Alligator mississippiensis: one gene and its partners. The protein of the gene in region 3 binds, or shares a complex with, the protein of the main gene of each other region. Links are inferred from orthologs where the notes say so. Each region holds a gene or a part of one and is shown on either strand. Other genes may lie near its edges.

The links.
Region 1: the proteins of cytochrome b-245 heavy chain (region 3) and cytochrome b-245 light chain are in contact, whole or in part, in a cryo-EM structure (PDB 8X2L), measured with the Homo sapiens proteins. The link is inferred for Alligator mississippiensis from reciprocal best matches to the Homo sapiens genes CYBB and CYBA. Residues at the interface, in NP_000388.2 of Homo sapiens: Thr116, Ile117, Leu120, Phe121, Val123, Glu124, Asn128, Asn133, Lys161, Asn162, Pro163, Gly166, Leu167, Ala170, Val180, Thr183, Leu184, Ile187, Leu188, Thr191, Ser192, Thr194, Lys195, Thr196, Ile197, Arg199, Ser200, Tyr201, Glu203, Val204; in NP_000092.2 of Homo sapiens: Gln3, Ile4, Glu5, Trp6, Met8, Trp9, Glu12, Gln13, Ala16, Ile20, Thr23, Val27, Gly31, Phe33, Thr34, Gln35, Arg56, Arg59, Met65, Gly102, Phe103, Leu104, Leu105, Ala106, Ile108, Leu109, Ala112, Cys113, Ile116.
Region 2: cytochrome b-245 heavy chain (region 3) and NCF2 share a complex: the UniProt entries of both Homo sapiens proteins name them as parts of the phagocyte NADPH oxidase complex. The link is inferred for Alligator mississippiensis from reciprocal best matches to the Homo sapiens genes CYBB and NCF2.

Annotation. Positions count from the first base shown.
Region 1 is NC_081833.1:75,249,175-75,252,919, forward strand, and holds the start of cytochrome b-245 light chain, read right to left. Parts: upstream 2,625-3,745; 5' UTR 2,563-2,624; coding exon 2,505-2,562; intron 1-2,504. UniProt on the Homo sapiens protein: Subunit of NADPH oxidase complexes that is required for the NADPH oxidase activity that generates, in various cell types, superoxide from molecular oxygen utilizing NADPH as an electron donor.
Region 2 is NC_081828.1:54,297,169-54,300,913, forward strand, and holds the start of NCF2 (neutrophil cytosol factor 2), read right to left. Parts: upstream 2,923-3,745; 5' UTR 2,737-2,922; coding exon 2,563-2,736; intron 1,731-2,562; coding exon 1,648-1,730; intron 985-1,647; coding exon 876-984; intron 1-875. UniProt on the Homo sapiens protein: Subunit of the phagocyte NADPH oxidase complex that mediates the transfer of electrons from cytosolic NADPH to O2 to produce the superoxide anion (O2(-)).
Region 3 is NC_081824.1:306,491,371-306,495,115, forward strand, and holds the start of cytochrome b-245 heavy chain, read right to left. Parts: upstream 2,372-3,745; 5' UTR 2,030-2,371; coding exon 1,985-2,029; intron 1-1,984. UniProt on the Homo sapiens protein: Catalytic subunit of the phagocyte NADPH oxidase complex that mediates the transfer of electrons from cytosolic NADPH to O2 to produce the superoxide anion (O2(-)).

The DNA of each region.
Region 1 (3,745 bases), on a different chromosome or scaffold from region 3:
ACCCCCTGCAAGCACACATATACACCACACAAACTACACATATGCACACTCCAAGTGCACACAAACCATGCACACATGCACACACACAAGTGCACATACACTGCACATACACCACACACACACACACACAACTGCAAGCACATGCACACAAATCACAAACATACACTATATATATACTGCATACACACACACCCTGCAAGCACATAAACAAATCAAGCACACACTATGCATACACTACATACACACACACCCTGAAAGCACATACCACACACACACTACATGCACACATGCCCTGCAAGCACATACACATATCACAAGCACACACTACACATACAACGCATATGCACACATCCTACAAGCACATACACACATCACAAGCACACACTACACACACACTGCATACACACACACCCTGCAAGCACATACACACATCACAAGCACACATACACTGAATACACACACAACCTGCAAGCACATACACACATCACAAGCACACATACACTGAATACACACACAACCTGCAAGCACATACACACATCACAAGCACACACTACACACACACTGCATACGCACACGCCCTGCAAGCACATACGTACATCACAAGCACACACTACATACACTGCATACACGCACACCCTGCAAGCACACACACACTGCACATAGCCTACACACACATGCTCACACACTGCACATGCCCACCCACACACAAGGCACATACACACACAATGCAAGCACTCACCACAAACACACATACACGCCCACCCCCAGCTGCAGCTCCCTCCCCCAGGGCATCACCAGGGCCCGGGAGGCTGCCATCAGCCTTCCTGGTAGCACCAGCCACAGGCCCGGGCGAGGCTGCGGTGCCAGGAAGCAGGAGCCCACAGGCACCGGTGGACGGTTGGCGCTGCTGGGGCTGTTCCATTGCAGCCTCTGCTACAGCAATGGCTGTGGGCAGACGTGGTCCCAGCGACCTCAAGTCCACAGCTGTGGGGGCAGCCAGCCGGCCTGGGGGAGAGCGCCTGGGTGTGCATCCCCTCCAGGATGTCCTCCTGGGGCAGCTGTGCTAGTGCCACGTGCGGGTGACTGGCACTGCACAAGTCCAGCCTTCATCCAACGTGGGCAGGAGACACCTCCAGTTATCCAGGACCCCTGAGCATGGTGACAGGGATGGAGCTGAAAGCCCAGGTCCCACAGCAGGACATCCCCAGCGGGGACCCAGAGCTGCCAGTCTGCGCCCAGCTTCATCTGCACCCAGCGCCAGGGTCTGCAGCACGTCCAGGCTCCTCTCTGGGGCCAGCTTGGCCAGGAAGGCGGCCGTGTCGGGGTCAGGCTACTGCCAGACCAGCACCTATTGCACTGGTGACCCCAGTCTGGCACGGTCCCCTTGGGCACCGCCTGGGCCGTGCAGCCGCAAGGCAAGGAGGTCAGCTGGGCATGGCCTTTCCAGCTGGGCTGCTTGGGCTTAGACACGATGGATGTGATGTGCCCCCGGGTGGGTTTTGAGTGCAGTGTAAGCTGGCCGGGCTCCCTGGCTTGCTCAGGGACAGCCCACGCCTCGCTCACCCTGTCCATCGCATGGTTTGAACGTGGTGCCAGCACAAGCTGGGGGGCAGAAGGGGAAGGAAGAGCTTTTGGGCCTCCTCCTGCTTACCCCAGCATGCAGGGAGGAGCAGCTGGGAAAGCCCTGAGACAGGGGCACAGCTGGGCGTGCTCAAAGTGAAACCTGCACTTCCCCCTGCCCCCGCACAGGCCCTGGGGCTGCAGCGCAGGGGGCGTGGGTGCAGAAACCCGCCCAGGTGGAAGCCAAGTGCCCCTGAGCTCCCGCCTGGGGGCACGGAGAGGGGCAGGGGCAGGGCTGCTGGCGACTGCTGCAAATGCGGAGCAGCCCCAGCTCCTGGATGAAGGAAAAGGCTCCCCAGGATCCGGGGGAGCCCAGATCCCGGTTCCTGGGGGCGTCTCCGGGCCCTGCCCAGGGCCACAGGCTGTGGGGGCGGCTGGGCGCTGCGCTGAGCTTTCTTCCCCATTTCAGCCAGGCACTTCCTCAAAGCCGGGGCCGGGGCCCAGCTCCATGGGGCAGGGGGCATGCAGGGCCGTGGAGACCTCCCTCTCAAGCCACTGCAGCCCCCAGCCTGGCCCCCCTGCCCATCTCCCCGGCACCTCCCCAGCCCCCCGCACCCCCCAGCCTGCCCAGCTGCCCCAACCAGCCCCAGCCCTGCCCCCCTGCCCCTCTCCCCTGCACCCTGCACCCCCCCCAGCCTGCCCCCAACCAGCCCTGCTCCCTTGGCCCCCAGCCTGCCCAGCTGCCCCCCAACCAGCCCCCAGCCCTGCTCCCAAGCCTGTACCCTGCACACCCCCAACCTACCCCTTTACCCCCTGGGCCCCTGCCCCCCAGCCAGCCCCCAGCCCTGCTGCCTTGCCCCCAAGCCTGTACCCTGCACACCCCCAACCTACCCCTTTACCCCCCGGGCCCCTGCCCCCCAGCCAGCCCCCTGCCCCCCACTCACTGAGGCCGGAGGCCAGCGCCTGCTCGTTGGCCCACATGGCCCACTCGATGCCCCCCATGCCCGGCGGACGCCCCTGGACACACTGTAGCAGCCACTTCCGAGATGGCAGGCTCCCGGCCCCGCCCCCTGCTTTGCATAATCCACGCCCCCTTCCGGGCTGGCCCCGCCCCCAGGCCTGCCCCCAGGCTCTGGGTTCCCAGCAGCCAGGAAGGTCCGCCCCCCCCCCCCCGGCAAAGGGGGCTCCCAGGCCCTACTGCCTCCAAGGGGAAACTGAGGCACGGAGGGGCAGGAGCCCAGGCCCGTTCCTGGACCCTGACGGGGCTGCCCGTCTCCTCCCCGCTGGGAAAAGGGCCAAGAACCAAGCGCCCAGGGAAGGGCCTGAGAACCAGTGGGGGGAAACTGAGGCACAGCGCGTGCAGGGACTTGACCAAGAGCAGCACGCTTGTCGGTGGCAGGGAGAGGCTAGAACTCGCGTCCCCTGCTCAGGATCCAGCCCAGGCCTGCAGGTGTGCCCTCCCCAGGCAGGGATTTGTACCCACTGTTCAGACCAGCCCCTAGAAAGCCCCTGAGGACGGGGAGGCTTTCTCCTCCGCCCCGTGCTGGGCCTGGACTCTGCAGCCCCCACGTGCAGGCTCGGAGCCGCTCACACGTGGCACGACAGCAGCCAGAGAGACCCCAGGCGCAGGGGAAGGAAAATCCCGAGCCCTGCCCAGAGCTCACAGGGGGCAGACGTCCGAGCTCGCCACGAAAGCGCATGCGGCAGCGAGCCCTGCTACCACTACAGGACACGGCCAGTCAGCCGCAGCTTCCTCAGAAAGGCAGCTGCTTCTGGGGTGGAGCCCGGCAGCGACCGCACGCTCCGGCCAGCAGCAACTCTCCTCTCTTTGTAAAAGAGGAAGGACGTGGACAATAAAACAGCCGCACCTGGAGCGGCCCGGACGAGGCAGCGGGGCTGTTCCCAACACCGGGTAGGTGGCCCCAGGACTCGAACAACCTGCTCCGCTCCCATAGAGGCAGGGAGGAGGCAGGCGGGAAGGGAGCAGCAGAGGTCACAGCTCCTGCAACCCGGGCCGGAGGCAGGATCAGCGCTGTGCAAGCCACCCCGGACCCCTCCATCACCTAAACTCTCCACCCCCCTCACCCTGGCAGGGTATCAGGAAGGAAAGCCGAGGCAGGCTGGGGTCAGAGCCATCTATTCAGCGCCACACGCAGCAGCTACGGCAGGGGGACGGCTTTGGAGC
Region 2 (3,745 bases), on a different chromosome or scaffold from region 3:
TAGTCCTAGGGACCAGCCTCTAATTTCTTCCATGCGAGCTCTGAAGGCTGAATGTTGGCTTGTCACTCATATATGAGGTCAGGGTGCAGTGGTGCACCCACTCCTTGATTCCTGGCCCACCCAAATTTTAAAGCCAACTGCCTGGCAGGTGCAGTAGCAATGAGGGAGTCAACTGACTTCATGGCTCCTTGTAAACTGCCTGATTCCTTCTATAGTCTTGATTCTGCCTGTTTCTCCTTTTTAAGTCTCGATGTTCCACTAATCAAGCTACCCTTTCTTCTGTAGTTCTACTGTCTGTTAGCTGTTTTTAACTCTATCTAAAAACACTAACTCAGCTGTAGAAATGTTAACTCGGGTGAACGTTTATTCAGCTGTATAAGCAACTTTCAGTGAAGTACTGGATGCATTATCAGGATTCTCAAGAAGGCTAGATTTTGTTTTATGAATCTGAAAAAATATACATTTTATTCTAATAGCTAATGTTGCAGGACTAATGCAACAATATCTTTGGATTATTTTGGCCAAGTTTGTTGTGTTGTTTTTTTTATACAAAGTACATGATATATAGCAAATTAATGCATGTTGCAGTTAAGTTATATTTGGTTTTGCTTTGATCTTAAATGGAATAATATAGCCCTTAGGCCCTTAGCATATTAGTAAAGTCTCTAGTTTCTTTTTAACTGGAGAAATATGTGTTGCGTTATATTTGATGTATCACCTCCCACCTTTTTCTCTTCCTATATGGAGGCCTCATGTCTGAGTTACACCCACTGGCTGTGTGGCATTGGATTGCAATATATCTTCACCACTTAACTTGTTCTGCTTCATGGATAGCCTTGCTTGTTTCAGTGTCACATTTCCCGTATGCTCCTTACCTCACAAGCAAACAGCCTGAACTGCAGCCCCAGGATCTTATAGTCTATCAGCAGGTTCCCTCGCAGCTGAGCCAGTGCTTCTTTAAAGTCTTCGACTGCTGAATCATAGCTGTAAAGCAAAGTTAATAATCTGTCAGGGTCCACCAAGAAAAGGGCAGGGCCTTTTGCTGGCTGGGCTGCCTGGTGCCTTTCAAGAATGCAGTCTTGTTCTCATCCTGAGTCACTTGGCCAGCTAATGACATGCCAGTAGCCTTTTACCACAGCCCAAGCCCTTCATCCTGAGTCATTCTTGGGAGAAAAGAGGCTGTCCAGATCTAGGCAATTGTGTTCTGACTCTTCATTGGCCAATTGTGCTTGCCAGTCTCAAGGCTTTTGAGTCTGTTACCTGCATCTGCTTTAGACCCAAAGCTGTGACCAGTGTTAATATTATTGTGTATCATTTATATTCTGGTTGTGCCCCATCACATTAGGTGCTGTGTACACTCCCTTTTGTAAAGGTTTCTTATATAGGATTTAGCTAATCCTCTCATTGCTTTTAAACACACACTGGGAAATTTCCGAGGCTCCCAAGAATAGTCTTCATCCGTAGGTTGGGACCACTGCTAAGCATGAGATAGTATTTACCTTGTTAGGTGCGTTCTGGCTCCAGTTACCTCTGCAGCATTCCAGCATGACTGACTTGTCAAAAGGCTTCTCTGCCAGTCAGGGAAACAAAGTTTGACTTTTACACACCCACCCACCTCACTTCCATTAGGGAGTTTCCAATACTTACTTTTCTCTCTTGTAAAATACTGTTCCTCTCTGGAAATAGGCCACAGCCAAGTGCTTGTCACAGTTAATACTCCTGGCAAATGCCTGCAGGGGATAGGAGATGATTCATACATGAAACCTATTCCCCAGAGAGAAGTTGCAAAGGGAGACCTGGATACGGAGTATAGGGATGGGGAGAAGGCAGCAGCTGCAGCTGCGGCTAGTGCTGCGGTAGAGGGGAGAGTGGAACAGAACCTGGCATGTGCGGTGCTTGCCTTTGACTGGTAGGAGGCATGAAACCAGCATCTCAGGAGAAGGGATGAAATGAAGGATGAAATGGAAAGGGAAATGTGGAGAGAAGGAAAAGGATTGTACCTCCTCTTTCCACCCTTCAGCTTTGGCTCTTGTGTTTCACCTGGCCAGAGGCCCATAAATTAAATACCCCCCCACTTCCCCCGCCCAGCACTGAGCAGCAAGAATTAAATGAAGTATGTGACCTATTGTGCTGTAACTGTCTCTTCATCCTGCTCAGGACAGGTCTATCAATTGCTGGGCCATCCTCCCTAATAGACCATTAGTCACTATGTGGCTGCCTGTTGGTGTGAACCGCCAGGTTGGCAAATACTCCATGTGGCATCATCTGGTTGGCTGAGCAGTGGCTGAGCTGCAGCACGGAGGAGTTCTTCCCCTTGCACCCAGCCAGGCCAGCTTGCCAGCTACCTGACAGGTTTGTGCCGAGTGCCCTTCAGCCTGTCAGGCACAGATGTGTCTGACCTGCGAGTCAGGCTGTCAGTCATTTCATCATCAGTCTACTTCTGTCAGTCCTCTCACTTGTCAGTGGGCCCTTCAGTCTATCTGGCAGGGCTGGGTGTGCCGCTAAGTCGGATTTGAATGTAGAAGAGGCAGGGGCAGGAGGAATCGAGATGCTCTTACTCACCTGCTCTGCCTCAGCCAAGTTCCCCAGGATCAGATGGATGGAGCCAATGTTAAAGCAGAGTTTGGAGGAGGGGTTCTGAACTGAAGTGAAGGCCTCCAGCGCTGCTCTCCAGTCCTTCTGATCGGCAGCACGTACCCCGTCATGCCATAGCTGGATCGTCTCAGCCAGAGACATGGTTCCTCAGGAGCCTTCAGTGGGGTATCTGGTAGTGCGATGGCAGGTCTCCCCACAACTTGGAGTGGCTTTTCCTTACTCTGGGCCCTCTTTCCTCTGCACTGCAGCTCGGCCAGTGCACTTCTACTTGTACTTCTGTATTCCCTCCAGCACCCACACAGTGTTCAATGTCGCAAACTTATCAGGAAGTGTCTACACTTGCCAATGAAAAACAGCCCTGCTGAGATGGGGAAGTACAGCAAATGCTGGCTGACGTGAATCCGAGCAGCCCCTTGCTGTGTTATTATAAATCCTCCTCCTCCACCCACGGCTATTCGCCTCTTTCGGTTTTTTTTTTTGCCTCATGGGATCTATAATTTGAGGCTTATGTTTGGCATCGCACTGCTGTCAGTGTAGTCACAGTTGAGTCAGAGTTCATCAGTGATGTGGCATAGAGGAACTGGGGCATGAAGAAAGAAGGTCCTGCCATGTTCCTGCAGCCGTGTTCCTTTTAAAGGAAGCGCGCACGCTCTTAACTTCCAAAGGCAGCACCTAGCTGCAGGCTGGTTGCTGATGGGAATTCCCCAAAACCTCTGTTGAGAGCGAGAACTCAATTAGGCTAATTATGCAAATGCTCTCTTTGATTGGAGGGGTCTGTCCCAATGCTAACCATTAGCCTTCAGCCCAGCTCCAGGTAGCTAAATATTAATAAGCTCCCACCAAGAAAAATCACAGACTCTCATGAACCATTCAACAGCCCGACTATATTAAACAGACTCAGAGAAGATACCAAAACAACAGGTACGTATGAAAAGTGATTAATACAATTATACACAATGGCAATTACAGGACTATATACACAAGTTGGGGGAAGAAACAACATTTTGAAGGGTCACAGCTAGGGACTGCACTTCAGACAACGCCTATCTCACTTAACCACATACAACACAACTTACAACAATTCTCAACAGCAGCAACAGCAAGTAAACCAGACCAGGCCCAGGTGCACCAAGCACAACACAACTTGCAC
Region 3 (3,745 bases):
ACCTGTAGCATAGAGGAGGCTGGACCAGATGAGCTAATAGTCTCTTTTCTTAACTTATGAATCTTCATCCCTTCTGACTACTCTAACTTCATGGAGATTGACTTTTCTCTGTGGAGAGTAAGGGTTGATAGGCTTTGGGGGTGGGGGGAGGTTGTTTTGTTTTGTTTACCAAAGGGAATCTTTTTATCTGCTCTTTCATTCTATAATGTTTTCCTCACTCACAGCTTTCTACTATTTAAGGGTGCTAAATACTTCCTTAAGTGTAACTGCCCTATACAGCATTGGCCTGTACTGGAAGGAAGGCTAGATCTGCTAAAGGGTGTGGGATTAGTTTGCTCGGAGAGATGGAGAAAATAAGCCACAATCCTACAGCAGCTAATTGAGTCCTCTTTTGCCTAAATGCATAGGTATAGCTATGTGATTGTGCAAGATCCATGTGACACTGGGCCCATGCGCATCTACTTTTGCTGGTGCCTGTTATTAACGGCTAGAATATCATTTCAGTTGCGTATCTTTGGTCAGATCCACATTTGTGGGTTGTGCCAAAAACAAGGGTGTGGTGGAGGGTTCCTAGCCATCCTGCAACAGCCCTCCCATTGCAACCCAATCACACTGAGTCAGTACATTTCCCTTAGCTTGACGCTACTTGCTTTTGGACTTCAAGCCACACAGTGAAATGGCTCTAAACTGCGGACAGTTTGCACCATGCTGCTCCTGGCTAATGGTGCACAAACATGGTAGAGCAGGGAGATTGGGGTGGGGGGGTAAACTTTAAATATTATGCTTATAATCAAAGTTGACAAACTGTAGTACCAGCTTCCTTTATACCTAACCTTTGGCTTCAGGGGTAACTCCTGCAGTGTTCCTTGGCCCACCATTGTGGTTGTAAAGGAGTTTGCAGTTAGCCTAGGCCTTACATGCTCCATGAAAAAAGTTTTTAGAAAAATTCTTAATATTGCATTAGGAACTTGATGCGCAACTAATGTATTGTAGAGTAGCTGTGAATAAAGCAGAACATTTTTCCATTCAAACCCTCTAGCAAAAGAGTTCCCTTTACTACTTCTCTTCATCTTCCCTTACTACTTTCTATATTTCAAATAACTCTTTGAAAACAATTTTTCTTACTTTAGGGGAAATAATAATATACTTATTAAAATTCAGGTAATACTGAGTTCTTGTACAGAGAACATTTATAATCACCTCTTTCCTATTGGTGTATTTGTGTCGGCTTCAACAAAATTTGACAAGTCGTTAACTTAGTTATGCATCTTGTTAATACAAAACTAAATACCTAATGGCTTCCTAGAGCAAGCACATGCATTTTTGGGGGGGAGGGCGCGCAGGGGAATCCAAATACTAACCGTTTCTCCCTATATGCCAGACTCCATTCCTCTACCCACAAATTACTTTCCAACCACTTTTTTGTAACCTACCTGGAGCTAAAGGAACATACTGGCTAGTATAACACCACGTTACTTGAAGTTTGCATGAAGCTGCCATGAAAGTGAACAGTGCGTCTCTATACAGGATCCTGGAATCTGCAACGCTGACCCACATAATCTTGTCACTGAGCACTGTACATCGTGATCTAGTTCAGCTTTATTAGCATTTGCTTCTCAAAAGCCTTTTACTGTACCATCATTTGCTAGGTTGGCTTTTTAAAAAATGTATACAGTTTATATCAAAATTTAAATGTTGCTTGCTCTTTTGATTTCAGACATTTTATATCTATATTACATTCATATTTATAGCAAGTTAAATGAGACTTGGCACAAAAGATACAAGTTAAGTCCCTTGTTTGTTTGTTTGTTTGTTTCCTCCCCCCCCCCCCCCCCAACAGGACTAGGATTTCACCCAGAATCTCTTAGTAACAGCTCTCTTCAGGTGCTATATAACACCCTTTTTCACAGGATCATATACGAAATAACATCAAGTAATCAGCATGTGTGATCAGAAATAAATTGCAAGAAAGGATTGTACTTACAATAACAAAAATGGAGAGTCCTTCATTCTCTACCCAGTTGCCCATGGTTGCCTGAACAGAGAGTGTACTGGCTTACTGCTGAGGAAATATCTGTATCTTCTCACAGAAGGAAGTGAGAACAGAAGCCTGGCTGCAACTATTTCCTTTGTCATTCACTTAGAATAGAGTTAAATTGAAACCACTGTATGGTTCAGTGATTTGTTATATTTTCTACTGAAGTCTTGACACCTCAATTAAGTCTCCTCCCAATATAATACTGTTTTTTATTCTAAAGAGATCATGGGAGGGTTTTTCCACTGCAAGATATTGCTGCCTTTATAGACTTCAACACACCCATTCTAGAACAATGAGAAACATCTTCATTTGTTCATCACTACATCCTGGTGCTCATTCCTTACCTCCTAACTAATCATTCTTGGAACTTCTCATTGCCCTGTACCCCAGGACAGCCTTCAGAGGCTTACCTAACATTTCCTTCCTTGCAAGGCATGCATCAGCATCTCTGTTCTTCTCACCAGCTCACAGCTCGAATCCTCAGCCAATGCTGTAGACATTTTCCCCTCCTTGCCAGTTAGTCTGAAAAGATTTCCAGCCCTTGTCATAGCTGGCATGTTTCATACCGTCCCAGCTCCTCAAGCTACTTGAGTATGTAAGGGTCTCAATGTCCTTCTCACTCCAAATGTTTTTCTCACCAGAAGACACCCCAAGAGCTGCTGAACTCCTCCAGTACTACAGAGTCAATACTGAATGAACTTATGATCCACAACGTTTCCAGGAAGAACAGTGAAACACACATTTGGTTGCAGTTGTTTTTAAATGATCCCTTATCAGAAGTATATGGACTGAAGGGTCCTTATCTGGTACAAATTAGCATTAGAAAAAAAGGGGCTGGTGGTGAGGTCAAAGATGAAAAAAGGTTAAGAGGGTGTGGTTTCTAACCCAACAAATTTATACCCATGGAGATGAGGAAAAAAGAAACATTTAGACTATTTGATTTTTTTTTTTTTTTTTTTTTTTTCCTCCTTTCTGCTCTACCTGGAAGTGGTCTCTGAAGTATCAAAGATTCTAATAGAAAAAGAAACTGAACAACTGAAAAAATATTAGCCACTTCAATAAGCCAGTACCAAGATCTTCTCTTCAGAAGGTCTGACAACCTGTCTATCATGCCTTTAACCTGTAGTAGCTACACAAGTGACTGCTCAGCAGAACATGCTGTGACTCTACCTCCGTGAGGTATCTCTCTCACGCAGCACACCCCCTTAATTGCAAATTCATCTGGAAGCAGAAGAGGTAAATGAATTTCAGTTACTCTATACAAAAAGCAGACATCTTGGCCACTCCTGCACGTCATGATCCATGAGTGAAAGTCTAGCTCCATGCAGGACAGTGAGAGTTCAGGCACTGACTTCAGTGAGAACAGGGTTTTACCTTTATGGTAGGTCACAGGAGAGAACTGGTGTGTGAAGGTACCATAAAACTGCTCCTCTCACAGCCTTTGGCCTATTTCCTGGTCCTTTCCTACTCATTGCAGTTGCTGAACAAGTGAAAATTCCCCCCGTAAGGTGTTGTCTGTGTTTTGAATTCCTTGAACTTGCTTTTGTTAAAAATATAATAAAACAATTGTGCCCATAAGTATTTTTCTTGTAAGTGCCAGCTGTGTATTAATATTTATAATGTAGGAGTGTGTGAAATAAAAAATCATTTAAAAAAAAAAAAAAAAGCCCTCACTTGTATGTAGGCTCTGAAATTTCCTGTTTTTAT